4 linked regions of the Stegostoma tigrinum genome follow. The protein of the gene in region 4 interacts with the protein of the main gene of each other region in a pairwise test. Links are inferred from orthologs where the notes say so. Each region holds a gene or a part of one and is shown on either strand. Other genes may lie near its edges. The genes, in order: reep6, agtrap, mal2 and ndrg4.

Region 1 (6,992 bases), on a different chromosome or scaffold from region 4:
GTTAAGTCTTACAAAGATTAATTTAAAGAGAGGAATTTAACATCAAGGTTGACTGGCAATACAAGTTACAAGTTATGAACTTCCATTACATTTTGCTCTTCTTAGTTACATGGTGTGTACATATTATAACAGATCACATACTCAACCCCATGAATGTTATCAGCACGGTTACTGACTATTCTGTCTATTTCTGTTTTGATGAAGGGTCACTGGACTTGAAACACCAACTCTTTTCTCTCTACCGATGCTGCCTGTCCTTGTGTGTTTCCCCAGTGCTCCATTCCTGTTTCAGATTTCCAGCAACTTCAGTATTTTTGCATTTATTCTTTTCAGTTATTCAGTTCCATGTCCAGCAAGTTGCTGAGCCATTATCCAAACAGGGATGATCCGGCAATGGATTGTGGTTTATCTGGAGTTAACTGCATAAGTAGTAAGTGGAGTTAAGGAAATCATTTTGGGGAATTACCACATTAATGTTTTAGTCACAGAGTTCAAATATTCTGTAACATGGAAGAACTGATCTGAAGAAGGGTCACTGGACCTGAAGATGTTAGGTCCACAGATGCTGCCAGATTTGAGCTTTTCCAGCAGACTGTTCCCGTTTCTGATTTCCACCATTCTTTTGCTGTTGTTTTTTTAAAAAAAATCCTGATTAATTATGTTTGCATCTTCTCCAATGATATATTCCTCCTAAAGTGTGGATTCCAGAATGCACACAATACTCTAGCTGTTGGCTGACCAACTTTTTAAATACAATTCCTACATAAACTCCCTTCTAATGCCTTAGCTAGAGACAAATATCCACGTGCCTTCTTAACCACTTTATCGACTTGTCCTATGGCTTGAAGGGATAGGTGGACATGCACACCAAAGTCCTCTGATCCTCAGCAATTCCTAGGGTTGTTCTACTCTTCATGTATTCCTTTGCATTCTTTATCCTGCCCAAGTCCAAAAGATATTTGAAAACACGAAGGTATTTCCACCATGTGCAAATAAACAATTGCATAAATGAGAAAACTAAAATTTCTGTAGACACACAGTTAGTATCAAAAAAGCTGGCACATTTGTGGAAGTCTAAAATATGTGAAATTTTTTTACATTTCAATACACAAAAAGGATTGTTACTTTCAACATGTACCTTTTGGTATTGGTGTTAAGAAGCCCATACTTCAGAACTTGAATTGAAAACTTTTCAGATTGACAAATAAAATATGTAATTAAGGAAATAAGTTTCAAAAAGGAGCTTCTTGAAGGTACACATAGACCTGAAATAGCATAGGATTTGAACAGAAGATTAAAAGAAGTGGCATATTTAGGTAACATCTTGTCTTTAAAATATTTTGCATATTGCTGGGATACTTGCTGAATGTTGGATCAGAACTGAATTTGGACGCAAAATAGTACACGCAATAGTGCGGAACAGAAGAAAACAGGTCATTGACCCAACTGGCTCACAGTGCTTGTGCATCACACCAACCTCCTTCAGTTTTCATTAAATTCAGTTCTAATAGTTTAACCTTTTTTTGCATGCACGTCCATTCAGTTTCTTCTTAGAGGGCATCTATGCTATTCACCCAATTACTTGCACTATTGGATTTCAATTTCTGAACACTCTCGACAAGGAATGCCAAACAAATTTATTGATGTCCTACACCACAGGTTTAACCAGGTCACCCCTCCATTTTCTCTTTTCTCGAGGAAAAAGGAAATCCCCTTGCTGAATTTTCCCCCAATATATTTAATTTATGAGTTCTGGTGCTGGAGTTTTCTTTTGGCACTGCTTCAATAATAAAATTAATTTTAAATTTATTCTTTCACACGTGTTTCACTGGCAAAAGTTAAAGTATGTTGCCCATCCCAATTGCCTTTGAACTGAATGGCTTTTTGGGTTACAGTATTTCAGAATCAACCACGTTCCTGTCACGAGTCACATGCATAAGCAGTGAACTCTGAACTACGAGTTTATTTTTACAACAATTGATGACAGTTCTGCGGTCAACATTATTGAGGCCAGTTTTCAATTCCAGCTTTTACTAATTGAATCTGATTTGAATTTATGTCACCAGAGGATTAGCTTGGATCTGGATTAATAATCCAGTGACATTCCCACAACATAACCTCCCAGCATTCTAATCTGCACGAAACATACAATGCTACTCCTTCAAAAATAACAGCTTAACCAAATTCACAGATTTCCTATATCTACCACAATTAAGTGAAAACTGTTTCAATTGTGGTTCCTCCTTCTTACTAAAACAGACCAAGTTTCTAACCAACTTGTTAATATATAAAGAGTACCAATTCAGTCAGCATATGCTTAGAATATCATATAAATCTTGGAATTTTAAATGTTGTCCTTTGACACAAACCACATGCCTCTCAGCTCCAAAACCACGCACTAACAATGCAATTTAAATCGTTACAGCTCATGATTGCAAAAAAAAGACAAGTATTTAAGTGACCCTTACAATTTCCACTATCAATATCACCGATTCGTGTCTTGAAGGGTCTTGACTTCCCCAAAAACGTAACCACAGCTTTTGGCAACATGTAGCAGACGGGTGACACGCGTTCTGAAGGGTCGTTCAACCCGAAACGTTAAGCCTGACTGCTCTCCACTAATTTCTGATTTCCAGCGTCCTCAGTTCTTTCTTTTTACAAGCGAAATCAAATCGCAGTCGAAGCCAGCGCAAGTTGACATTCAACAACATATTACAATTGGGTGCTAACAAGTCTCTGTGACCTACCTGTGGCTAGATTGTATTTACGCACCCCGGTCTTCTCTTCAATCTTCCCCAATAAGTTGGTGATGAAGTTCTTCTCGTTCAGGAAATTCTCAAAGCGCTCTCGCAAGGACGGCATTTTGCAATAAATACTACTAAAGGTAACAGAAGACACTACTAACTCCCAACGCGTTCCGTTTATTGCAGCTATCCCACTAATCTTCCACTTTGCTGACTCTCAAACCTTTCTGCCAATCCGCTTAACGACGACGCGATCCGTTTGTTGGAGCTACGTTTCCGGCATCATTTTGTGATTGGCACACCAGTTGCCCAATTGGAACCACGGTTGATACTCATACCCAGATCTTTGTTTGTCAATTTGACTTTGTATAGCGATTTAAAAAGAAATGATAGACAGGCAAGTCCAGAAGGGACCATGTTTTGGAGTACAATTTACAGTCCTGGTCACCGTGTTATAAAATTGTATAGAGGCACAAGAATACTATAGATGCAAGAACAGATTTACTAGAGTTAAGGGATAACAAGGCGTCGAGCTGGATGAACACAGCAAGCCAAGCAGCATCAGAGGAGCCGGAAAGCTGAAGTTTCGGGTCTGGAACCTTTTGCTCCTCCGAAGCTGCTTGGCCTGCTGTGTTCATCCAGCTCTACACCTTGTTATCTCAGATTCTGCAGCATCGGCAGTTCCTACTATCTCTTTACTGGAGTTAAACCTGAATTCGGAGTTCATCAATATCAGAAAAAAAATTGAACGTTTTATTCTGAAAAAGTAGAAGACCGACTAGACGTATTTGATGCTACAACTTGCTTCACTAGAGTAGGTCAAGGCTTCTCAAAGTGGGGGTTCGTGACTCTAGCAGAGTTGCCTGCTGAAATTTTGGGGTTGCAAGCTTTTCAGGCAGTAATGATCACCACAAAGCACCCTGCTGTGTTCATCCAGCTCCATACTTTGTTATCTTGGATTCTCCAGCGTCTGCAGTTCCCATTGTCACTGCTCCTTTCCTCTCGTTTTCATAGGTCTTTGCTCTTGCCTCCTGTTCTCATAGGTCTTTCCAACCACCACCAACCCCAACTTCTCAGTTTTCCTTGAGGAGTCATGACAATTTTCAATGCTTCTGATGGAGGGTCAATGACCCAAAATGTTAACTCTGATTTTTTTTTTAATCACAGGTATTGCAAAACCTGCTGAGCTTTTTTTTAGCACCTTCTGTTTTGTTCATGACAATTTTCAAGTCTTGAAATGGCATCATTGGGAAAAGGTTTGGAAGTCCTAAGGTAGATGTAGTAAGACCATTTATTGTTGTTGGGAGGCCAATACTTTATGACCAAATGTATAAGATAACTAATTTAAAAATCTTTTTCAATTCAAGAGAAACTTTGTTTCGCAAAGGCAGATTGTGAAACTCACCAACACAAGGAGAGGTGAACCATCTAGAAGCATAACATGGTTATTGAATGAAGCCATTTAGTCTGTCGTGTCTATGCTACTTCAGCTAGAACATTTCATCGGCATTTGCTTTCTCCCACCTCCACGAAAACCTTTTTCCTTACATAATTAATGATTCAACTCACTTTGGAAAACCATGGCCGAATGTGCTTCTATCAGAGGCAGAGCAGGTTCCAGATCATAAACAATAAATACATAAAAAAGATTTTTCTCATGTTGCCTTTGGTTCTTTTCCAAGTCATCTTAAATTAATGTTTTCTGGGTTTTAACTGTCCCAACTATAGGGACTTTACATTTTGTGCAGAAACTTAATTATTTTGAACATAATCTATCAAAACTCCTCTCAAATTGCTATGGTAGCTAAAATTGTGCAAACTTGAAATTAATTTTGTAAATACTTTTTGCACTCTTTAAAATGCTTTCATGTTTTCCTAGAATGTACTATCCAGACATGGATACAATTCTTCAGTTGAGGCTGAACTAGTGTATTTTAGAACTTCACCATAACTTGTACCTTCATCAACTCTCTCTGTTGGTTCATCAAAAACTTAAGCTAGTTAATGGCCTTAATCTCCCCTTCATAATTCTATGTCGGTTTCTTAATCAACTTTGTATTTCTCAAAGAGACTGTTAATTGGGTCTTGAATTATTGATTCTAAATCTTTTCCCGCCAACAACCTTAAAGTGAATGATCCATAGTTGCTATCTTAACCTTACACACTTTTGTGAACAAGGATGTAAAGTTTGCAATTCTGTACTGTGGAACATTTACAGTGAATCAAGTTAAGCACATGAGCGAAAAGGTTATAGAAGAGTATGGGACTTGATGAAGAAGGGTGGAGGTGGTTTGTGCAGAGTGTAAAATCTGGTATGGACAAGCTGAACCAAATGGTGTATTTGTGTGTTGTAAATATGATGCATAGTCTACTTATATATGCAAATGGCTAGAAAGTCAGGATGACTACCAGCATTTGCAGGCAACATAGTTGGTAGCTGTTTTAGTGAAAGTGTCTATTCAGCTCATTATGACAAATAGCCAAAACTAATCCAATGCCCAGCCTTTCTCTCCACAGGTGTCTTGTTTGTGTTTTCAATATTTCCTGTTTTTGGTTTAGAATTAAAACGTTTGATTATTTTCTTCTAATTGTATAATTTTCAAATGTTCAAGTTGTTTTCTGAGCATTGTAAACTACTTTTAAGAGTCTAAATCAGTTGAGTAATTTGCAAAAAGACTGTTCATGATCTTTGAAAGCTAGTATTCAAATTACTGTTGCTTCTGATCATAATTATAATTAAATATTTCCCTCATTTATTGGTGCTAACAAAACACAAATAGACAGAGCACAGAAAATGCTACAAATACACTTAAAATCTAAACAAAAAAAGCAATCTTATCAGTAGATTTTATGCTGCATTTTAATAGAAGACAAGTTGTGCTTAGAAAAATGGGTCACACAACATAAAACAGTAAATTGCTGTTTCAAAGTAAATAATAAATTTCTTGGTTTGTTGTAATATGAGCTAAATAATTATAACTAAAACACCTGCAAGAGCTAAAAGAGATTTGGGCAAAAACAAATGAATATGTCAATGTTGTTATTCCATGCACTTTCCTCTTTCCATCATCTTTTACAGTGACTTCTATGCAAAAATAGTTAACATGGGAGCCACACCCAGGGCATAAAATGAGCACATGGTTATAATCTGAAGTAAAAGTTGAAAAGGAAAACAATACAACAAATTCCTTCAATGTAAAATCTGTAAAACTTAAATTTCTGCAACTTGTAACTACTAATGAATCTAATTTGTACTTTCACAATTAAAATGTTTTGGGACTGCATTATATGTGGTATAGTAACAGGAATCAATGTTTGGTTTTTGGGAATTTATTCGGCAAAGTTAGTTATCTTGGCCTTCTTTTTGTCCCTGGTGAGGGCTGTTTGATTTAAAACATTATTCTTTTAGAATGCTGCAGAATATATCAGATGCTGCCTTGGAATTTGTCATAGCTTTAAAAAATGAGCACCGTTTTCATAGCTGGCTAATGGATGTGGACTGGCCTAAAGCATCTCCAATGAGATGCAAGTTCTTAATAATTACTGTTTCTCTGTTATTTATTTATAGAGTATTAGTAAGGCAAGGTGATGTCTCAAAAACTGCTGCGTAACAACATTAACTCTGTGTAGTGATGGCTTGCAATAAGGGCCTTCTTTACCTGCTTTCAAATGGAATCATAAATTATTTTCCAATCTGAGAGACATGATACTTCCGTTCATTTTTATTCCCCTGTACTTCTGATTTTTCTTTATTTCTAAGTGGCCAGGTTACTTACAGGATGCAAAGTGTGGTCTAATTAGAGAATTACAAAGTTTAATCATTATCCCTTCTCATATATTTAACAGTAATTCAACATTTGTATCCCCTTTGATGAAAAACCCTAAAATATTAGCTATTCCTTTTTGTTCAGATACTTTCTGATCTGCTGAGTGGATTCAGCACTTTCTGTTTTCAAACCTATTAATTTAGTAAATTGTGTATTTGTTTGACATATTTTAGAGACAAATCTATTAAGTTAACATTTCTTTCAATTTCATCCCTAGCTTTTTCAGCAGATATATATCCACTTTACAGTTTTATGATGACAGGTTCAACTCTTCCTCCGCCCACACAGTTTATCATTTGCTGTAAATCAGTGGGTGCTATCTCTGATTGCTCCATATCTGTTGATAACATAAAATTGTGACATCATGGCCAAAATTTGGGATGAAGCCCACAAACTATTTTTTCACAATGCAAGATGAGGT
Region 2 (7,822 bases), on a different chromosome or scaffold from region 4:
TGATTTTCCATATTAAGCAGATGTTCACCTGCACATCTGCCAATGTGGTACACTGTATCCACTGTACACGGTGTGGCTTCCTCTACATTGGCAAAACCAAGCGGAGGCTTGGGGAACACTTTGCAGAACACCTACGCTCGGTTTGCAATAAACAACTGCACCCTCCAGTCGCAAACCATTTTAACTCCCCCTCCCATTCCTCAGACGACATGTCCATCATGGGCCTCCTGCACTGCCACAATAATGCCACCCGAAGGTTGCAGGAACAGCAACTCATATTCCACTTAGCAACCCTGCAGCCCAATGGTATCAATGTGATCTCCCCTTCCCCCACTGCATCCCAAAACCAGCCCATCTCGTCCCCTCCCCCCACTGCATCCCAAAACCAGCCCAGCTTGTCCCCGCCTCCCTAACCTGTTCTTCCTCACCTATCCCCTCCTCCCACCTCAAGCCGCACCTCCATTTCCTACCTACTAACATCATCCCGCCTCCTTGACCTGTCCGTCCTCCCTGGACTGACCTATCCACTCCCTACCTCCCCACCTATACTCTCCTCTCCACCTATCTTCTTTTCTCTCTCCATCTTCGGTCCGCCTCCCCCCCTCTCCCTATTTATTCCAGAACCCTCTCCCCATCCCCCTCTCTGATGAAGGGTCTAGGCCCGAAACGTCAGCTTTTGTGCTCCTGAGATGCTGCTTGGCCTGCTGTGTTCATCCGGCTTCACACTTTGTTATCAGCACATTATGACGTGAATGGCTGTAAATTGGGAGAAGGGAGTGTGCAGTGGGACTTGGATGTCATTGTGCACCAGTCACTGATATTAAGCACGCAAGTGCAGCAGGCGGTCAAGAAGGCAAATAGTGTGTGCGCCTTCATTGCGAAAGGTTTTGAGTCCAGGAGCAGGGATGTGTTGCTGCCATTATACAGGGCCTTGGTGAGGCCATACATAGCATATTGTGTGCAGTTTTGGTCTCCTTTTCTGCAGAAGGATGCTCTTGCTCTCGCTCTCAAAAGGAGTGCAATGAAGGCTTACTAGGCTGATTCTGGGGATGATGAAACTCACATATGAGGAGAGATTGACTAGGTTAGAATTGTCTTTGCTGGAGTTCAGACAAATGAGGAGGGGATCTCAAAGACTTAGAAAATTCTAATAGGACTAGATAGGATAGATGCAGGGAGCATGTTCCCAATGGTGAGTGTGTCCAAAAGCAGGGATCACAGTCTGAGAATCAAAATGGACCATTTAGGTCAGAGATGAGGAGACATTTATTTTCCCAAAAGAGTAGTGAACTTATGGAATTTATTAGCACAGAAATTTGTTGATGTCAAAACAGTAAATGTATTCAAGTGGTGGCTAGATATAGCACTTGGGGGTGAATGATCGATTATGAGGAAGAAAGCAGGAATAGGCTATTGAGTTGGATAATCAACCATGATCATGAAGAATGGTGGAGCAGGCTTGAAGGACCGAATACCCTCGTCTTGTTTCTATGTTTCTTCCATGTCTACAACTTCCACCCACACCTTCCAAACACTGTCTAAATAACTAGTGTTGTGAAACATTCTCTTTCACTACCACCGCCACATACTGTCAATCATCCAATTACCGAAGCAGGACTCAGTTTTCCATAAATTGATTAGATTCGATTCCTAGATTAGATTCCCTACAGTGTGGAAACAGGCCCTTCGGCCCAACAAGTCCACACCGCCCCTTGAAGCATCCCACCCAGATCCATCCCCCTACAACCTACACAACCCTGAACACTATGGGCAATTTAGCATGGCCAATCCACCTAACCTGCACATCTTTGGACTGTGGGAGGAAACCGGAGCACCCGGAGGAAACCCACACAGACACGGGGAGAATGTGCAAACTCCACACAGGCAGTCGCCCGAGACTGGAATTGAACCCGGGTCCCTGGTGCTGTGAGGCTGCAGTGCTTACCACTGAGCCACCGTGCCACCCTATCTGCATTTCATTGTTCAATACAAACTCCAGACAGCACTGCCCCTTCCTAACCAGCTCCCCTTAAATATTTGCTCCAATGACTATTAGCTGTTGTCTAACCTCTGGAACATATATCCTGGACAATAATTTACAATATGGTCACTTTCTGTCAATTACTGAATATTGTTCTTCTGAGGTTTGTGTTCTAGAATCTTTGCTGCCCCTTCAAAGCCTTCCTTAAACTCCATCTCTTTGGCCAATTCTTTAGTCAACCTTTATATAATTTCCTTTGTCTCAATGGCAATTTACTTTCAATTAATCCTCAAGCAGGATGCAATACTTTTTCTACAACAAAAAAGGGCTAAGAAAAAAAATCAATGAGCGTTTGATATTACCACATATTTTCACCATGTGGACAGGAATACAAATCCAGTTAACAGATGCTTGTTAATTAATGCATCACTCACCAAGTTGTCAGGAGCCAGTGCACAACGATGATCATCTGTAGAAACACGAACCCAGGTCAATCCGAAAGAACAAACAAACACTACAATTCTATAGACAGACTGAACTAGAGTCTGTCGTTCTCCCACAACATCATTCCTAGAGAATCACAGAACACCCGAGATTATAGCCTGAAACTGACTCAGAATTTCTGTCATTTGACAAAACCACTCCCTATAGCCCGTCGACTAGATATCAGTCTGCAGCTCACTAGTGAAGGGGGAAAGCAGGCAGTAGGAGCTAGGGGAAGGTAAGGCAAGGGAACAACGGGAGAGGGAGAAAAGGGGATGAAGGGACAAAAGTTATGCTCAGCTCCGCACAACACCAATAATTTAAACTTCGGGCTGTTCCTAAAGCCAGACTGTTTCTTTAAGATCCCGATCGATAACCCTGTTCTTAGCGGGCAGCCGGAGTTCGATTTCTTGACCCTCACATTTCCATTCCACAAACTTTACCTTCAGGCTAACCACCGGCAGTTCCATCGCTGAAACTTCATGAAGTAACAAACTTCGAGGCGACCCATGTGACCCTGCATCATGTGACCCGGGCTGGATGAGGAAACCCTCAGGGTGCTGATGTTTGTTGGGTTCCTCCCGCCTCAAACCCCACAATTGAAGAAGGTGGCAAAACCGATCAATGACACTGACTCATTGCTCTCTGAGAATCAGCTGCTTAACGTCATAAGAGAGTCTTAAAATTAATCGTGGACATAGTTCACAGTCAGTGGGCCTCTGATGCGCTAACATTATATTTCTGCCGAGTCACTTGAATCGTCATTATCCCCAGAACGAAAAAAACCCGTTAATTTTACATTAGCTAAAATAACTTTAAATCGACATACATCGATGCTGCCAAATGAAACTTTTGTTTCAGAATTGGTTATTTAGGGTATGGGAGCGTTGTTGACAGGGGAGGCTTTTGAACAAAATGAATATGTTAACGCTGACAGGAGTGCGGGAGTTGTGACATTTCGCATTTTGCTGTGGTTTCTGGCACTTGTCCACACGGAGTTGGTCTCTATCGGGTGTCGGACCTGCTGCAGCAGATCACACCCCCAGACCAACGACCAACACTGTGGACATTCATTAAAATCGTAATAATCAAATATTTATGGTGGGCTTGCACATCCCTCAAATGCCAAACTAATACACCACTGCCACTTGCTTACGTCAAATCAGTTAGGGATAGATTTTCTAATACACTGTACCTTTTAAAATATGTAAAGTATCAGGTGCGAGACAAAAAATACTGACAGTAAAAAACAAAGCCAAAACTATCTTGACTTTGGTGCATCAGCTGTGTCTCAGTGGTAGAGATAATGGGAACTGCAGGTGCTGGAGAATCCGAGATAACAAGGTGTAGAGCTGGATGAAGGCCAAAGAGCATGAGAGGAGCAGAAAAGTTGACGTTTCGGACCGAGACGTTTCTTCAGAAGGCGGGGGGTTCTGAAATAAATAGGGAGAGAGAGGAGGCGGATCGAAGATGGATAGAGAAGATCGGTGGAAAAGACACACAAGTCAAAGAGGCGGGGATGGAGCCAGTAAGAGAGAATGCAGGAGGTAGGGAGGAGATAGGTAAAGGGGGCGGGGTAACTCTCAAGACCAGCTTGTACTACCTATTTCCCTTGGTGTGATGGCACTAGACCTTATTCTTAAACCATTACAATTCATGTTGTGAAGGTTCTCCCAACGTGCTGGGAGTTCTACATTTTGATCCAATAATAAAGAACACATCTCAATCTAACTGTTGGATACAAACAAATGAACATTTGACAGAAGCGATTCTGAAGTTCATTTTCTCTACAATTAAAATTACAATGAGACTGAAATAATCAGGTGTGCACCAAGATGTGAGATGAACTTAGTCAGTATGTTCCATTTCAAAGTTTTTAATTGGTTGTCAGATTTTGTTTGTTTCATGTAGGCTAATATTAAAATTAAATAGAAAACAAAAGTGCAAAATCTGATACATAATCATTCTTTCGTCATGCATTCCATTGCTATAAATTCACATGCAGGACAACACGAAGTGTAACTATAACAGACAATGCAACTATAACAATATGACATACAGTCTGCAAAGACTTTACATTTCTTTTTGAGATACAGCATTGCTGGCAAGATCTGCATTTATAGCCCATCACTAAATGCCCTTTCGATGGTGATGGTAATTTGCCTTCCTGAATCATTACTATCTGTGTATGAAAATATTTACACAATGTTGTTAGGTACAGACTTCCAAGATTTTGACCCAACAATGATGAAAAACAGCAATATGTGTTCAAGCCAGATGGTTGTCACAGTGACTAACTATAATAATGTGACAATATATCTATAAAAAAAGTTAAATATTCTCTCAGTTTTACAGTTATTCAAAGTAGAGATTCTCACATCACAACCCTGACCCTTACTGCAATATCTAAATTGGACTGTCCTAATACAAAAACACAAGAACTGCACCTATGCCCATCTATACCTGAGTCATAGAAAGGCTGTGTTTTAACATTGTACAAGAAGTAAAATATTACAGACACTGTTGTGCATCTGAAATACCTTTACTCAAAACAACGAATCTCTGTTCTTATCACAGATGAAGACGGACCAGCTCAGTGTTTTCAGTACTTTCTATTCCTTGTTCCATCTTCACCTCTTACAACACAAGTTATAACAAGGGTTGAAAACTACTTGGAGAACATTGTTGGAAAAGGTAATTAATTATAAGTTATATTAAGTTGAAATGACAGTAGTCCTTTGAAAACAAGGGTCATCTATTCGGTGGATGTTATGATAAAGCTTCGACATATCTGTATAACATCAACCAGCTTTTCTGATTCTTATTATTATCTGGGACACTCCTGGATATATGCCCAGTTATCAGGTGAGAAAAGTACAGAGTCTTTGTTGCCCTTCACATTCAAACAGTCCACAAATAATTTACGAATATTCAATGTTTAGACTCATACTTGGTAACAGTCACTTGGGCAAGGTACAGGCTGGTACCAGCACCTAGAGATGTAGCTCAGTAAACATCAAATGAAAAATTTCAGATTGATTAACTATAAACAATTCAATTATTATACAGTAATTGATCACGGCTTTAGGCTGTGCAGGAGCCTAAATTGTGTTTTAAAGAGTCTGGTTTTATTGTGAGTTTAAATTATATTTATTTTTAAAAGTTGGTGAAATATTGCAGGTTTGTAGTAATATCAATAAGTTTAAAGCTGAAAACATGTTGGGACATCTGATTTCAAGAGAATGATCATTCATGAATGATCAATGGTGACAACGTTTTAACAGAAGGGTGATACCTGATGGGAGGTTGTCTCAAGTAAAGCTGTTGGGAGAGAACTGTAGGGAGATTCCTAGAAAATAAAAAGATATAAGGAGGAATTCAAAGATAACAAGAAACTCTTGTATACAAGGTATTATTGCTAAATATTGTGTTAGTTACCATTTTGCTAAATAACATTCAAAACTGTTTATGAAAGTACGGTATTACAAATACAATTTTCGTGTGGGTACGAGCAGCAGGATCATTTCAAATAAGAAATGAGTTGAATGGGACAATATAAACCATTGGGGATTCCATTATCATAGTTGAGTAGTGGATTCTGGGTATTGTTGGGATTTGTTGGATTATAGTTTTGGAATGTAGGGCGTAAATAGGGATATTTTCAACAGACATGACTGGGTGATTGCAAGAATCTTATTCCAGACTGCCCCAGATGTGGCATCGCCTATCAGGGCAGTCACAGGCATTCTTGGAGCCATCAAGATTTTCACTGTTGTTATTGGATGAGGATTGACTCGTTGTGTGGGTCAAAACAGCTGGATTCCTTATGATGTCTGCTCAGACCGTAATAAATGATCCATGATTGATGTCAACAGATTCTGGTTCCACACATCGTCCTCGCCTGCGGGTCACTCTCCGATTCCGATGGAACTTGGCATAACAGCGAAGACCTGATAAAGACAGAAGAGTGGGTTCAGTCTTGAGCACTCATCTGACAGGGCCTGGCTCAATTGCCAACTTCACTTCTAACACGGTCAGGAATCAGATGATACCAGGTTATAGTCCAATAGGTTTACTTGAAATCATAAGCTTTCAGAGTATAGCCCCTTCATCAGCGAAATAAGAAAGAAGTACACAGTCACAGAATTTATAGGCAGTGAGATGTAAAGATCATACAACTGGTGTGAAGTGGAGTGTTGAATAATAAGTCTCCATGGGTGATCCGAAGTGTCAGATCGTATAAGTAAAGTGTTGGCAGCTGAATAACAAGTGAAGGGATGGTTTATAATCTGATTAAATGAGGCAGAGGGATAATTACAAAAAATTAAAAATAAGATGATGTCATGTTATTCCAGTCATTTGGTTTGTCTCCAGCACCACCTTACTTTTAATGTTTTTGTAATTATTTCTGAGCCTCATTTAATCAGATTATAGGTAATCCCTTGGTTTGTTATTCAGTTGTTGATGCTGTACTCACATCTGATACTTTTGCTCACCTGCAGAGACTTATTATTTGACACTCCACTCTCACCATTTGTATGATCTTTTGATTTCTCTGCCCTTGATCTCTCTGCCTACAAATTCTGTCTCTGTGTGCTTCCCTCTCACTTCACCTGACAAAAAAGGTTATACTCTGAAAGCTTGTGATTTCAAATAAACCTGCTAGACTAAAACTTCATATTGTCTGATTTCTGACCTTGTCCACCCCAGTGCAACACCAGCACCTGCACATTATCACTTCTAACAAGACTGAGCTTCTTTTTCCATCTACCATTCTGATATTAATAATTCACACTTTCAGTGTGTAATGCAGAGTCAAAACACAACCTAACAGTGGACGTAGCTTTAATGTTTACTTCAATGAAACGTTAACTCTGCTTTGTCTCCACAGTTGCTGCCAGATCTGCTGAGCTTTTCTAGTAATTAGTGTTTTTTTTTGTTTTTGATTTCCAGCACCCGCAATTCTTCATTTTTGTTTTGTTAAGAGTAGCTTGTTCGAGGACCAACACATGCCTCCAACAATCCTGACAGCACCCCAAGATTTGAGCGAGGGTACCTTTGAAGTGGCGAACCCTCAATTTCAGGACCAAATCTGACTTTGATGCACATCATTGGTAACCCGGTAGGGAGTGAGAGGGAAGATTAAACTTTTTATGTTGATAGCTAGCGCTCAAACCTCAGAGACTTTGGCTAATCTTGAGCCAAAGCTTGCACCCACCTTCTGCACACATACAATCATCATAGCACTTGTTATTGAGGCCGCGGTTGTGGGCTTTGCAGATGTGCTGCCGGAGGTCACAACACCAACCTGTGGAAAACAAACACGGATATCACAGTAAGTTCAGGTGTCATTTAATT
Region 3 (7,203 bases), on a different chromosome or scaffold from region 4:
AAATCCCTGTAGTGTGGAAGCAAGCCATTTGGGCCACTGAGTCCACACTGACTATACTGAACTAGCAATTCAAAGGCCTGGATTAGTGATTGGAGTCAGTTCAAATCTCTTTACAGCAGCTGGAAAAACCGGGGAAGGTAGGGAATAAAAGTCCATTTTATTCTAGATTTACTTAACTGAAATCTCAGAAACAGTGACCTCAAGTAGTAGAATGTCATAAAACACATCTTACACACTAATGTTTAGAGAAGGAAGTTTGCCTTCCATAACTGTCTTGGTAAAAATGTGCCTCCAAACAATTATGCCACCAGACACTTAAATAGCTGCAGAAACGGTCTGGCAAGCCATAACAATAATCTCAAAGATAATTAGGGACAGGCAATAAATGATAATCTCACAGGAACACCTACATTACACAAAATAGAAAAGTCATCTCTGACCATCTGTACTGGCTCCTGGTCTTTCACTTCTATCACTCCTAGTTTTACAACCCTTCAAGAACCTTGCTTACCTCCTACTACGGTATTAACCTTTCGCATCTGCACTGGCAACATATGTCTAACCCACATGGCCTCTTCGAGAATTTACATAAAACATCAAATGTTTGAATACCACGTAACGTTATTGTTTTAGCTTGACACTTATGCAAAGGATCTAGCTTAAGTACATTAAAAACACAAGGGATGTCCTTTTATACAGTTAGAAACATCAGGAACAGTGGCTGTGGGTTCAAGTTTCACTCTAGAACTCAACAGCCAAGGAAGGGATTTTCATAATACAATCAAACAGATTGAACATGAACTTGTAAATCTTTTCAACACAGTAATGCAGGTGCTAAAACTAGGCCAGATTTCTGAGCACCTAGTGTAAAAGAAAACTGAAGTCTTTATCATCAGAATTCAAAGTTCTTGCCTATGATATGCACATAAAAGTGTATATCACCATAGCAGAGATAGTAGGAACTGCAGATGCTGGAGAATCTGAGATAACAAGGTGTAAAGCTGGGTGAACACAGCAGGTCAAGCGGCATCAGAACAGCAGGAAGGTTGATGTTTCCGGCCTAGACCCTGCATCAGAAATCCTCTACTTCCTTTGTACAGATGCTGCCAGGATATTTCTCCAGCATTTTCTGCTTTCCGTTGAGAAGGGTCTTGGCCCGAAATGTCAACCTTCCTGCTCCTCTGATGCTGCTTGGCCTGTTGTGTTCATCCAGCTTTACACCTTGTTATCTCCATAGCAATTCAGTGAAAAGTAGCAGTTACTTAATTAGTTACTTAGATTTACTTAATTAACTGAATTTATATCTCCACAGCTGCTATAATGAAATCTGAACTCACTCCAGGTCACTAATCCACACCTTCGGACTGCTAGTCCAATAAAAGGGCCTGAAAACAAACAAATGCTACAGATCACAGCAGATCAGATGGCATCCACGGGGAGAGAACAAGCTATTGTTGAGTCTCGATGACTCAGAGCGGACTAAGATCACCTCGGCTTGAAACATTAGCTTGCTCTCTCCATAGATGCTGTCTGACCTGCTGTGATCTCCAGCATTTGTTGTTCTCAGTACAGATTCCAGCATCTGCAGTATTTTGCTCCTCTAACAAGACGGCCACTGTGCTAACATATCCCTGCAGAGCAATGAAAATTGCTGTGAGTTAGAATGAGCAATGTTGTTTTAGATGAGTGCAAGTTTATAGCAAGTAGAAGTTTCATGCTGGGAGGCTATGGATAAGACCACAGTTCTTTGAATTTGTGTTTTGGAAGTGCACAAATACTGTACCTGCATGTCAACAACTGGCTGGCTGACTAATGTGCATCAGATTTATATCACCAGTGCAGAGTTCTATCACCATTCCAACTAGCATTGATACTCCTCATGAACGTCTCTTCCACCTACCAGCAGTGCAGGTTATGGTGCTGAGAAAATCAGTCTCAGGTATTCCAGCCAGGGTAACTACTGAGGCATAAAATTGTCCTCAGTAACAGGGAGGGCAACAGGAAGGATCAGATTTCTCTCCTGCAAATCAGAGAAGGCAGCTTCATGTGGGAAGACAAAAAGCCTGTTCCGTGGCCTCCATTTCCGCGCTGCACCACCTCCTCTAACAAGGAAGGATTAGACCCGAAGCAAAAAAGTCTAAAAAATCGATAGTCAGCGTCGTTACAGAGTCCCAATGTTATTTTTAGTTCAGACTCTGAAACTGGCAGTTAGAAATCTGAGCAAAATCGGTGAGGAGATGCTCCGGGTGCCTGCAATACCACTGCACACCGACAGACTGCTCTACAAATTGTAGGGGAAAACAAAAAGGTGGAAAAACAACAGGTAGCTTTCCCTTCGAAGCTGCGAGGTTTTTAAGACGTTACCGAATAGCTACATGTCTCCCCCCCCCCGCCCCCCGACCCCAACACAGGGATTTTTTTGTACCAGTCAGCTCCGGGCTACACCTTCACTGATGATGCCCGGGGCGGACGACTTTGACGAGGTATTGGGATAAATCGGTGACAGGGACATTTACTCACAACCAGATTCCAGTCCGTATCCAGTCGGTCAGCCAGGCCGCAGAGGTACACGCACAGGTACAGCGTGGAACACAGGAACATAGTGACAGCCACGAACATCACCCAGCCTTGCATCAGGGGCACAGGCACGTTGGACGAAGCGACCAAAATCCACACCAAACCTCCGAACAGCTTTGGGCAAAACAGAAAGACCAATGTTAGCAGGCAGTTTCGGCGTCAGTGACCAGCCCCTAAGTTGCAGACCTGGGAACAAGTGCTAACTCACAATCTCTAAACAAATGAAAGCCCCGGAGTAAGTCTGCAGAACCGAGATCCCCAGAGGTAGGGTTATCCGAGGAGCTGGGAAAGCCATGGCGTTAGAGTTCAGGCTGGGATTGGTAGCAGGAGCCGACATGGTGGTGGGTGAGACCGCCCGCAGGGAGCCAGGGAACCGGCGGCTGAGCCGTGCGACACCGAATCCAGACAGGTGTAACTGAGCCGGGAGTGCGAGCCCCGCCCCGCACGGCACAGCCCCGCCCGGCTCAGTCCTGCCCCGCCCGGCACAGCCCCACCCGGCTCAGTCCCGCCCCGCACGGCACAGCCCCGCCCGGCTCAGTCCTGCCCCGCCCGGCACAGCCCCACTCGGCTCAGTCCTGCCCCACACGGCCCAGCCCCGCTCAGAGACAATAAAATGTGAGGCTGGATGGACACAGCAGGCCAAGCCGCATCTCAGGAGCACAAAAGCTGACGTTTCGGGCCTAGACCTTTCATCAGAGAGGGGGATGGGGAGAGGGAACTGGAATAAATAGGGAGAGAGGGGGAGGCGGACCGAAGATGGAGAGTAAAGAAGATAGGTGGAGAGAGTATAGGTGGGGAGGTAGGGAGGGGATAGGTCAGTCCAGGGAAGACGGACAGATCAAGGAGGTGGGATGAGGTTAGTAGATAGGAGATAGAGGTGCAGCTTGAGGTGGGAGGAAGGGATGGGTGAGAGGAAGAACAGGTTAGGGAGGCAGAGACAGGTCGGACTGGTTTTGGGATGCAGTGGGTGGAGGGGAAGAGCTGGGCTGGTGTGAGGCAAGTGTAGCACTTCCTGCGGTTGGTGCCGGGTGTGGTGGCATTGGAGGGGAGTGTGGAGAGGACAAGGGAGTCACAGAGAGAGTGGTCTCTCCGGATGGCAGACAAGGGTGGGGATAGAAAAATGTCTTGGGTGGTGGGGTCAGATTGTAGATGACGGAAGTGTTGGAGGATGATGTGTTGTGTCCGGAGGTTGGTGGGGTGGTGTGTGAGAACGAGGGGGATTCTCTTGGGTGGTTATTGCATGGGCGGGGTGTGAGGGATGTGTTGCGGGAAATGCGGGAGACACGGTCGAGTGTGTGCTTGACCACTGCGGGGTTGAAGTTGTGGTCCTTGAAGAACGCGGACATCTGGGATGTGTGGGAGTGGAATGCCTCATCCTGGGAGCAGATGTGGCGGAGGCGAGGGAATTGGGAAGAGAGGATGGAATTTTTGCAGGAGGGTGGGTGGGAGGAGGTGTATTCTAGGTAGCTGTGGGAGTCGGTGGGCTTGAAATGGAGATCGGTTTGTAGGTGGTTGCCTGAGATGGAGACAAAGAGGTCCAGGAAGGTGAGGGATGTGTTGGAGATGGCCCAGGTGAACTTGAGGTTGGTGTGGAAGGTGTTGTTGAAGTGGATTAACTGCATCCATCGTACCCATTGTGGCTTCCTCTACATTGGGGAAACCAAGCGGAGGCTTGGGCACCGCTTTGCAGAACACCTCCGCTCGGTTCACAATAAATAACTGCACCTCCCAGTCGCAAAACATTTTAACACCCCCTCCCATTCCTTAGACATGTCCATCATGGGCCTCCTGCAATGCCACAATGATGCCACCCGAAGGTTGCAGGAACAGCAACTCATATTCCGCTTGGGAACCCTGCAGCCCAATGGTATCAATGTGGACTTCACCAGTTTCAAAATCTCCCCTTCCCCCACTGCATCCTAAAACCAGCCCAGCTCGTCCCCGCCGCCCTAACCTGTTCTTCCTCTCACCTATCTCCTCCTCCCACCTCAAGCCGCACCTCCATTTCCTGCCTTTTAACCTCATCCCGCCTCCTTGACCTGTCCGTCCTCCCCGGACTGACCTATCCCCTCCCTACCTCCCCACATATACTCTCCTCTCCACCTATCTTCTTTTCTCTCCATCTTCGGTCCGCCTCCCCCTCTCTCCCTATTTATTCCAGAACCCTCTCCCCATCCCCCTCTCTGATGAAGGGTCTAGGCCCGAAACGTCAACTTTTGTGCTCCTGAGATGCTGCTTGGCCTGCTGTGTTCATCCAGCTTCACACTTTGTTATCTTGGATTCTCCAGCAGTTCCCATTATCTCTGATCATAGCCCGGCTCAGCCCCGCCCCTCCCGGAACGGCACGGTCCCGCCCCGCACTGACCCAAAACAAACAAATGCAGCTCTTGTTCTTTGTGCTTTAAGTAGCCCATCTGCAGATTGCTTATAACAATTGGTAGGAGACAGTGAAGTTAGCTTCTCCATCGGTCTCAACTTATGCTTTAACACTGTAGTCACGGGTAGGACAGTATTCAGGTGCAATGATTGGGCGTAGCAAGGAGCAAAAAAAAATTACACGATTTCTGAAACGAAAGCGATGCCTCCGTGAAAAATATCAACACACCCATTGTGCCTGATAAAGATACAGAGAGGGTGGCCTTGATGACGTCTTTAAACGTCGAATCATATTTCAACCGGATCTGGTAGGATCAGAAACGAACAATGTTTAGAGACTTAAGGATTAAGTGGTAAAGCCAGATTTGTTGTCGGAGCAACAGGTGTTGTTTGTGGTATCCAGGTAGTACCCGGCCAGGCTTTTAGTGCTTTGAAGTTTAACGATACTGTAATACTCTTTTAACAAACATTTTCTTAGACTATTAAAAGTAGGAGCAGAAGTAGAGTATTCAGTTTATGAAATCCACTTTCCATTCGATCAGGCTGTGGTTGATCTGGTAGTCTTCAACTTCATTTTCTTGCCTTTCCCAAAAACTTCTCATTTAAAATCACCTGAGCCTTGAATATACATCGTATGCAATAAATAATTCCATGGGCTGAGTCTCAGCTGAGAGAAGAAATTCCATCTCATTTCTATCCTAACTGGACTTGCTACTCTAAGATTATTCTCACTGGCCCCAGGTTGTCCCTCAAGGGAAACAAGCTCTCTGCATTAGCCCTAACAAGCCTCCTAAAAATTTTGCACGTCCCAATAATGTCACCTCCCATCCTTCTTAATGAGCATCAGTGCTGGGGGCTTTACAATTTACAAAACATGTTTGATTGAAAGAAGTGAATGCACTGTAGCCAAACTTGCAAATGTCAAAAAAAAGTGGAAAGGTAGGTCATGAGATGGATATAAGCAGTTTACAGGGAAGATTGATACAGTGCGGAGTTGGAGGAACACAGCGGATCAGGCAGAATCAGAGGAGCAGAAGAGTCAATTTTTCGAGCCTAGACCCTTCAGTAAGACTGGAGAGGGGAAAGGGAGCTGGAAAATAAATAGAGAACAGGGGTGAGGTGGGAAAAGCTAGGTGGGATGAAGGTGAGTGGATGTGGGTAGCGAGTAGTGGAGATTGGTCAGTGGGAAAGGTGGGGCGGATAGATAGGAAGAAGATGGACAGGTTGTGTCAGGTAAGGGAGGCAGGAATGAGAGGGAAGGTTGGACATGGGATGAGGCCGGGGGTGGGGAGATTTTGACATAGGTGAATCCTACGTTTAGGCCATCCGGCAGTAGGCTCCCGAGATGGAATATGAGGTGTTCCTGCAGTTTGTGGGTGTTGTCATTGTGGCACTGGAGGAGGTCCAGGATGGACATGACACCCGGGGAATGGGAGGGTTGGTTTAAATGGTTAGCGACCAGAAGGTGTTGTTGATTATAGCTTACAGAACGCAGGTGCTCTGCAAATATGTCACCAAGTCTACATTTGGTCTCACTGATGTAGAGGAGACCACATTGGGAGCAACAGATACAGTAGACCAGGTTGAAGAATGTACAGGAAAGTTTGTCCTGTGCCTTGGATGGAGGTGAGGGGGGAGGTGTAGGGGCAGGTGTAGCACCTCCTTTGGGTGCAGGGAAAGATGCTGGGTGTATTGGGGCTGGTAGAGAATGTGAGTGGACAAGGGAGTTGCGGACTAAATGGTCCCTAGGAAAGACAGATAGTGGGTGGGGAAGGAAATATCTGTTTGGTGGTGGGGTTGGATTGTAGGTGGCGGAAATAGCGAAGGATTGTGCACTGGATGCGGAGGTTGGTGAGGTGGTATGTGAGGACAAGGGGGACTCTGCTTTTATTTTTGTTGGGAGGAGGGGGTTTGAACGTAGAAGTGTGGAAAACGCAAGAGATGCAGTTGAGGGCATTTTCAATCAATGGAACAGGAAGTTACAGTCCTTGAAGTAGGAGGACATCTGGGATGTCCAGGAGTGGAATGCTCCAAATTAGGAGTAGATGCAGCGGAGGTAGCAGAGTTGGGAGTGAGGGATCACATTCTTGCAGGAAGGTTGGTGAGAAGAGTAGTAGTTAAGGGTTTGAAGTAGATAACGAGTTACTGACATTCCGCATCTACGTGGCGACTATCCAAATTAGATAGGGCTAACAATGTTGGGAGATGTATAAACATTGAGTCAAGGATCTTCTGGTCTGAACTGTCCAG
Region 4 (7,191 bases):
TGCACTCAGAATGAAGGTAAATGACTCAAATTGTGAATCAGGGGACTGAAGGACTCATCGATGTGAGGACCTTTAAAGGAAAAGAACATCACATACACACCTGTGTACTGTACCGGACACTGATCTGCAGGGTCTCTAATCCCTGGCTATCCTATTGTATAATCCCTAATTTGTTATGCCCGATACATCGCTGACAAACTCATTCACACCAATACTTTTGGACACAGTGGCCAGGAAAGAATAAGGATGTTGTAGAACGAGGGCCAAAAATGTCAGCAGCAGCTTTATTCCTCTTGCTTCCAGATGATGCAGTTAATTTTCACTACAGACATCAATTCATGGTACATCCTTTTTGGTCAGGGATTATTCCTCATGCTGGAACATTTACAACTGGGGCTACACCGAGTGACAATCAAACAGATGTACGACGAAAGCAGTGCCATTTATAGAAAAGTACAAATTAACATGCGTTGTGTTGACACCTGTGTCACCAAAGTGCCCTCAATAAGTTTTTTTCTTCCTCTCCCTTACATCTTAATGCAGATCTTACCACATCTTAACGTAGACCGGGGTTTTGCAACTGGGGTGGAGGGAGTCTGCTCAGCAGTGGGGTCTTATGCCATAAGGTTTGATTGGCTGACCATGAGGACACTTGTGTCAGGATGGAGCAAACATGCTGAGGATCTACTTGATGTGAACTTCCAAGGGTCAGGGAGGGGCAAGGAGGTAGTGTGACCAGTCACCTCTGGTGTGTCTCGAGTAGAGGCTAGGTACTCTACCTCTACCCTGCTTATCCAGCCATATCATGCTGCATGAATCCTTCTCCAGTGGGGCAACTTCTGGCATTGCCTTGTCTCCTTATGAGGAAGGGGACCTGGAATACTTATCAGATTTCCTGTCTCCCACTCACCATGCCTTCAGTCCTGAAAACCAGTGGCCAGGGTGACGGAGTGCAGGAGCATATACCCCTCCACTAGAGCTGATAGCCGTACCATAGTGAATGGCAAGAGTGAGAGCGCAGAATGTATTTAATGGAAAACTTAAACTCCATCTAAACAGTTTCAGAATTTTAGTTTCAAAGTTCTCAATAAAAGTTAATGCATTATGATCTGTAAAAACTAAAACTGCACAGTTTCTATGTCAAGCAAAAAAAGTGTTGAAAAGCTACTAACACCAGCAATGCTTCTTTTTCTTTAGTAGAATCTCTTCTCTGATGTTGCTTCAACTTATTGGAAAATAAGCTTTTCCATCTGAATCATGTCATTCTGTAAGAGAACTGCTCCAATCCAAAATCTCTTATAAAAACCGAAAGAACTGCGAATACTGTAAATCAGGAACGAAAGCAAAGTTGCTGGAAAAGCTCAGCAGGTTTGGCAGAATCTGTGAAGGATAAAACACAGGTAATGCTTCAAGTCCGGTCACCCTTCCTCAGAATTTCAGAAGGTCACCGGACCTGAAACGTTAACTCTGTTTTTTCCTTCGCTGATGCTGCCAGACCTGCTGAGCTTTTCCAGCAACTTTGTTTTTGTTCCAAAATCTCTTATGTCTACTGCTTATTTGAAAACCATTTGCCCAAACTGTCTCTGATAATAAATAACATATTCCAGCAATTTCACCACAATTGATGTTAATATACAAACTTTTTGCTGCCTAGTTTCTGTTTCCCACTGTTAAATTACAAGTGAAGCTATTATATTTCAATCCAAAGGCACAAGTTCTAAGCTTAGTGAAGTTTGAACATTTTTGACTATTTTTACATTTGGCAATTTCTTCCTCTTCCTTTTAATTCCCTGATGTGACTATAAGGAGCTGATTTGCAATACACAGTCTGGCACACATCACCCAGGTGAATTCAGAGTTTTAAACTGTTGTGCAAGGACATCGGGACCCCTGAGCATTCTTTTGATTACATTCCAAAACTGACAATCACTGAGTGTAAATAACACAGAATGGGCAAAGTAAGAACATTCTAGAAGAAGACTACAACGGTACACACTAGAAATTTAGAGAATCTTGAGATTAGTCCAAACATAATAAGTCAGAGTGTGGTACATCTATGGTTACCAAACGTGGCAGTATTTAGTATTAATATATTATACATTGTGTTATTTTGAATTCTAAGCCTACAAACCTTTCTTGACTTTGCCTTCTTACCTACACTATAAAGCACACAAACAGTGTGGCATCAAACCACTTGATAAAACATGGTGGCAGCTATAGGATCCACTGCATAGATAACTGGTGGCTGTGAAGATCAAGAAGTAGACTTGAAATCACCTGATGAAGAGAACTTGAAAAATATTTTTTTCACAAAGCCAGTAGTACAGTTTTAAGACCTCCCAGCACCCAGAAAAATGTCACAAAGCTAAACATCGAGGTGAAGAAAACATCTCTAAACAGAAAACTCCTCTTAAAAAAAAACCCACCAGAACACTCAAGTCTCAAAAGCCTCCTACATCCAGTAAAAGAGGAAACAAGCTTTTAAAAGAGCAGAAAGAGCAGTAAAAACACACTAGTAATGACGGCAGGGAGAAAATCATATTTTGACTTGCTGAATTGAGCATTTAGAATTCTACTCCAAACTGAGCAGGCCACTTAAAAGAGTTTAAACAGCTATTAATTGGTTGCCACCATATTCCGTACTGGCTTCCCCAGCCTCAGTCAAAAGTACAAAACTTTCCTAAAGGCATTGTGATCTTGAGACAAACTATAGTAACCATAATTTTTAAATTTTGCAAACATCAGTTCAGTCCTCCAAAGCCCTTTGAAAATATGGCCCCAGGAGTCTGTAATGTCCTGAGGACTAACTATTTTAATTCTCATTATTGTTTTCATTACCATGTTAAAAAGGCTATATTAGACCCAGGCAATACTTCTCCTTTCTCCACAGTTGTTAAATGTGCATACTAACAATATCACATGTGCAAATGAGTATATAAATTTCATTATTTTATTGATTCAATTTGTTCAACTACTTTATATGTTTTTTTAAAAGAGGCCACGATATATGGCGGCCTGGGGAGAGACGTAAGCAGAACACAATTTTATCTTACTTGAAACCCGTCCAGTTAATGAAGTTTCCGTATTTGCCTGTATCTATTTTGTCGTTTATTTTTGAATATAGATAACACATCAGCTTATTCAACTCTTCAGAATGGCTGTGGGTCACTGGTGTATTTGAGTACTGCTGAATTGAGTGGCTGTGAATGTTTTGCTGTTAAGTGGAAACGCTGGATGTCTATTGGAGACGCAGTCTGAACATCACGAATATTTGCCAGTGATTCTCTGAGGGTGGATGTCTTCTTGCTTCTCTCAGTCTGTGGTCACTGAGGCAGAGCTGTCTTTCACCCCGAGTAAGTGACCGAGAACCTCACTGTGTGAACCCCACAACGGTTAGCACAGTGGCCCGGGTACGATCTCCAACGTGCGGCAGGGCGCCTGGAGCCGGGATTTTAAACCGGGTAAGTGGGCCGAAGTGGGCGGAAATTCCTTCGAAACTAAGGTATCTATTTGCAGTCGAGTTAGGATATCATGTACTGACCTCAGCATCAGTTGATTTAAAGAAAGCTGCTCGTTGTTGCCGTATTTTTTTTTAATATGTCGGGTGCGTTCAGTAGCAGGAAGACTTTCGCATTCAATAACCTCACTTTTAAGCAATTGGTGTAAGCTTCGTGTTTGAAGTGCTTCAGTTTCGAGGTGTCCACCTGGTCCTAAAGTCTACCTTCATTCATCGTTATGAGCTAGATTTCTAAAGCTAAATCGAATTTAAGTTCGAGGCGGTGTGTGTGCTTTTAGAAGATTTTTTTGGAAAGGTATTCCTTTAGACGTCAGGGCTGTATAATTTCAGTTGAGGGGCCCTGTCCAATAAGAAGATGTGACTAGCAGAGCTTTGTCTCTGCGTACAGGGGTATTGGACATTTAACCAGTGGGGATAAACTGGATAGCGGAGGAGAACAAGATTCTTTCTATTAATGAAGTACGTATTTTGGGGGGGGGGGGGAAAGGTGTAAACGTTCATTACAAATAGTTCAAGTTCGACGTGACAAAGTGCAGGACGATTGTTTCTTTCAATGCAGCTCATGAAATGTGGTTCGACACTTGCCATTACAGGTTATAATTACCATAAATATTTGCATTTAATGTCACTTCCTGCAACACCGTATTGTTCCTCTTTCCCTGGTGTATGCACACGCATACAGTAGTTGACACTTCCATACATATTGGCTGTCACTATACGACCGAAAACCGATCGGGCAGAAATGCGTCAGGTGGACAATCATAAAACAATTTTGATCCTTTTCTTTGTTTCCAGATCTTTAGGGAAGTAAGGTTAGAGTTCAGAATGAGTGCCGAATAGACAAAAAAAGTGTTATGACTTTTTTGTGTTCTAACTTCCCTTTCTTATTTTGAAAAAGTGTTAAACCTCTCTGTTGTCAGTTTATAACTCTTGGTGTGGGGAGAACGGCGTCGGTGTGTAACTTATCCTTTAGAAGAGAGAATGCAGAACCTCTGATCCATTGAGTGCCTAACGTCAAGTGCAAGTTGTGGTTGGAGAGAGATACTGACAGTTCGAAAAGAGAGGTGGGAGTGAAAATGGAGCAGGATTCCTTTCACAATTTGATTACAAATGCTGAAGTATGGAATGCAGCCAGAGAGGAAGGAGGAATTGATATAAACTCAGTAACAAACCTAGCAGAAGGAAACATTACCAATCAGCAAAGTAACAGAGTGAATCAGGCAGCGAGATTGTGCAGCATGAGAATCTAAAGATCAAATGATCATTCTGGAAAGACAAAAGACCCATTTAGAAAAGTGAGGAAATAGATAAGCAAAGAACTTGACTAGCAATGTATTTCATTGGCAACATTCAACAGAGTACGGCAATAAGATGAATAGGAAATGAGGAAAGAAGATATTAAGGGCAGATCTTGGGGTTGATAAGACTTTCTGTAAAAAGAGAGAAAAGGCTCATTGCATTGGAGGTTTTATCTTGAGTTAAAAGAGGTAATAAAATTAAAAATTTAGTAATAACTCTGAATACGGAGTTTTTATACTTCTCACTATAGCAAGGATGTTGCGACTTCAGGGAATGAAGTTGATACTGTAGAATGCTATGAGGATATATAAGAAATGGCTCCGTTTCTCATTCTAACAATGCGGGTTAGACAATACTGAATTCAGTGTTGAGCTTTGAACATAGGCTACAGAAGTCTGTTTTCATTAATTGTGGGGTCAAGAATGAAAGGCCTTTAATACAATATTAAATATGAGATCTAGAGCTTAACATTTTCAGTGTGAGGCTGTAGAATTCATTTCTAGGTTAGTGGCTGAGGAAGAAATTATATTAAAATTCAAGACAGTAGATTGAATCATTAGATGAGGAATTATTTGATCATCAGAAGGAGTGGGTAAATGTCAACATGGACTGTTTGAGCTGAATGGCCCGTTTGCATGTGTAATTTCTGTGTAGTAACTTGTTGGTGTATAAGCAAGACCGCAGCTTTTCAAATAAAAAGTGTTGTGAAACTTAGTTGGAAGACCAAGACCCTGAATGCAGGACATCACCTGGAATGACATGTCGAGACTTTTCACTCAAACAAACAATCCAGGGTATTAGCTTGGTGATATCAAGCTGTGGTTTGGAAGGCTGGTTTATAGGACAGTGAATAACCGGGGGTCTGAGGAAAGATCACTTGACCCTAAACGTTAACTGATTTCTCTCCACAAACACTGCCAGACCTCCTGAGCTTATCCTGCAATTTTTATTTTGTCGCTGATTTATAGCATTTGCAGTTCTTTTGGTTTTTATTTAGTATTTAACTCTCTGCCGCTTCTACTCTTGCATCCTTTGTCATAGGTTATGGTTTGGAATCTCTTCAACAGGGTTCAAGTGAAATGGTAAGCTATAGTGCAAAACTCCAATGGTTTTATCATTTCTCATCTAAGTTCAGATGTTAAACTATTATTTTGGACAATCTCCCTAGTATCTTTTGAAGAATATAATCAATGAGTTGTTGCCTGGGGTTTGTTTTATTTTCAGATCAGTGCTATCTTACAATGGTGTTAACAGAAGTATTGATGTGAGTATTGACAAACTTTATGTACAGAATATGGTGTAAGATAGAACACCAACCATTTCTTTTAAATTAAGGTTAGGGATCCCTGCCTTTGTCTGACTGTCCCTGGAGTGAATTCCGAATGCAATTGAGAGGGAAGCTTGATTACCAGGTCTCAGCTTTCTGTTCAAGCTGGCTGAATTAAATTTGGTAGCTAACAGATTATGACTATAGACCATGAATCATTTCTTCCTGCAGCTATGGGGTGGTGGGAATTTGTTGAAGTCCTATGCCGAAATAGTATATTAGAGATTGATGCATGAGCATATTGATGATTCTACACCAAGGCCCCAGTGTGTAATGTGCTTTCATATGATTATGACTGAACCTGCAGTCTGTTTTTGGACTATCATTGGACAGACAGATTCACTGCTTATATATTGATCTTCAGAATATGGGATTAAGAATGCAATTTTAACTCAGACAGTGGGACAAATAAAATAATATTTTTGTTAGTACCTTCCTATTATGTTGAAACGTCTGTACTTCCTACAATTGTTAACTTTTTTGGACCTGTTTGTTGCGTAGCATTGACTTCTTACAGCTGTAAGCATGCTGCCTAAAATGAATGTGAATGCCCTGAAACTGGTTCCTCCTGGATAAAAACCCACAGTTCAACAACTCCCCTAATTTAACATGTATTGGCACTAAACAGCCACAGCAGGAATTAGAAAATTTCAAAACTGAGATTGATAACTTTTTGTTGTGCAAAAAGGGGAAAAATATAGGGTGGGATGGTGGCTCAGTGGCTAGCACTGTTGCTTCACAGCGCCTGGGACCTTGGTTCAATTCTGGCCTTGGGTGACCATATATGTAGAGTTTGCACATTCCCCGCCCTCCATCTGTGTGGGTTTCCCCCAGGTGTGCCAATTTCTTCCATAATCCAAAGTGCTGGCTAGGTAGATTAATTATGGGAAATGCATGTTAGAAATTGCGTGGGACTGTTTGGGATGCTCTTCAGAGGGTTGGTATAGACTCAAGCTGAATGGCTCACTTCCACTGTGGGGATTATATGAAGTAACAAGTAGGGCTGAATGGCTTTCTCCTGTTCTTACAAGTGATCTTCAGTATGGAG

Evidence for each region.
Region 1: the proteins of ndrg4 (region 4) and reep6 interact in binary tests that used the Homo sapiens proteins (3 or more experiments, as listed by UniProt). The two-hybrid records come from large-scale screens. The link is inferred for Stegostoma tigrinum from reciprocal best matches to the Homo sapiens genes NDRG4 and REEP6.
Region 2: the proteins of ndrg4 (region 4) and agtrap interact in binary tests that used the Homo sapiens proteins (3 or more experiments, as listed by UniProt). The two-hybrid records come from large-scale screens. The link is inferred for Stegostoma tigrinum from reciprocal best matches to the Homo sapiens genes NDRG4 and AGTRAP.
Region 3: the proteins of ndrg4 (region 4) and mal2 interact in binary tests that used the Homo sapiens proteins (3 or more experiments, as listed by UniProt). The two-hybrid records come from large-scale screens. The link is inferred for Stegostoma tigrinum from reciprocal best matches to the Homo sapiens genes NDRG4 and MAL2.

The regions. Positions count from the first base shown.
Region 1 is NC_081383.1:11,413,498-11,420,489, forward strand, and holds the start of reep6 (receptor expression-enhancing protein 6), read right to left. Parts: upstream 3,017-6,992; 5' UTR 2,863-3,016; coding exon 2,748-2,862; intron 1-2,747. UniProt on the Homo sapiens protein: Required for correct function and survival of retinal photoreceptors. Required for retinal development.
Region 2 is NC_081381.1:28,426,054-28,433,875, forward strand, and holds the start of agtrap (type-1 angiotensin II receptor-associated protein), read right to left. Parts: upstream 3,006-7,822; 5' UTR 2,935-3,005; coding exon 2,908-2,934; intron 2,552-2,907; exon of another isoform or gene 2,451-2,551; coding exon 2,416-2,450; intron 1-2,415. Other genes in the region: draxina (draxin), read right to left, coding at 6,302-6,414, 7,683-7,772. UniProt on the Homo sapiens protein: Appears to be a negative regulator of type-1 angiotensin II receptor-mediated signaling by regulating receptor internalization as well as mechanism of receptor desensitization such as phosphorylation.
Region 3 is NC_081358.1:12,535,130-12,542,332, forward strand, and holds the start of mal2 (protein MAL2), read right to left. Parts: upstream 3,012-7,203; 5' UTR 2,915-3,011; coding exon 2,786-2,914; intron 2,692-2,785; coding exon 2,521-2,691; intron 1-2,520. UniProt on the Homo sapiens protein: Member of the machinery of polarized transport. Required for the indirect transcytotic route at the step of the egress of the transcytosing cargo from perinuclear endosomes in order for it to travel to the apical surface via a raft-dependent pathway.
Region 4 is NC_081369.1:10,586,706-10,593,896, reverse strand, and holds the start of ndrg4 (protein NDRG4), read left to right. Parts: upstream 1-4,182; 5' UTR 4,183-4,183; coding exon 4,184-4,268; intron 4,269-7,191. UniProt on the Homo sapiens protein: Contributes to the maintenance of intracerebral BDNF levels within the normal range, which is necessary for the preservation of spatial learning and the resistance to neuronal cell death caused by ischemic stress.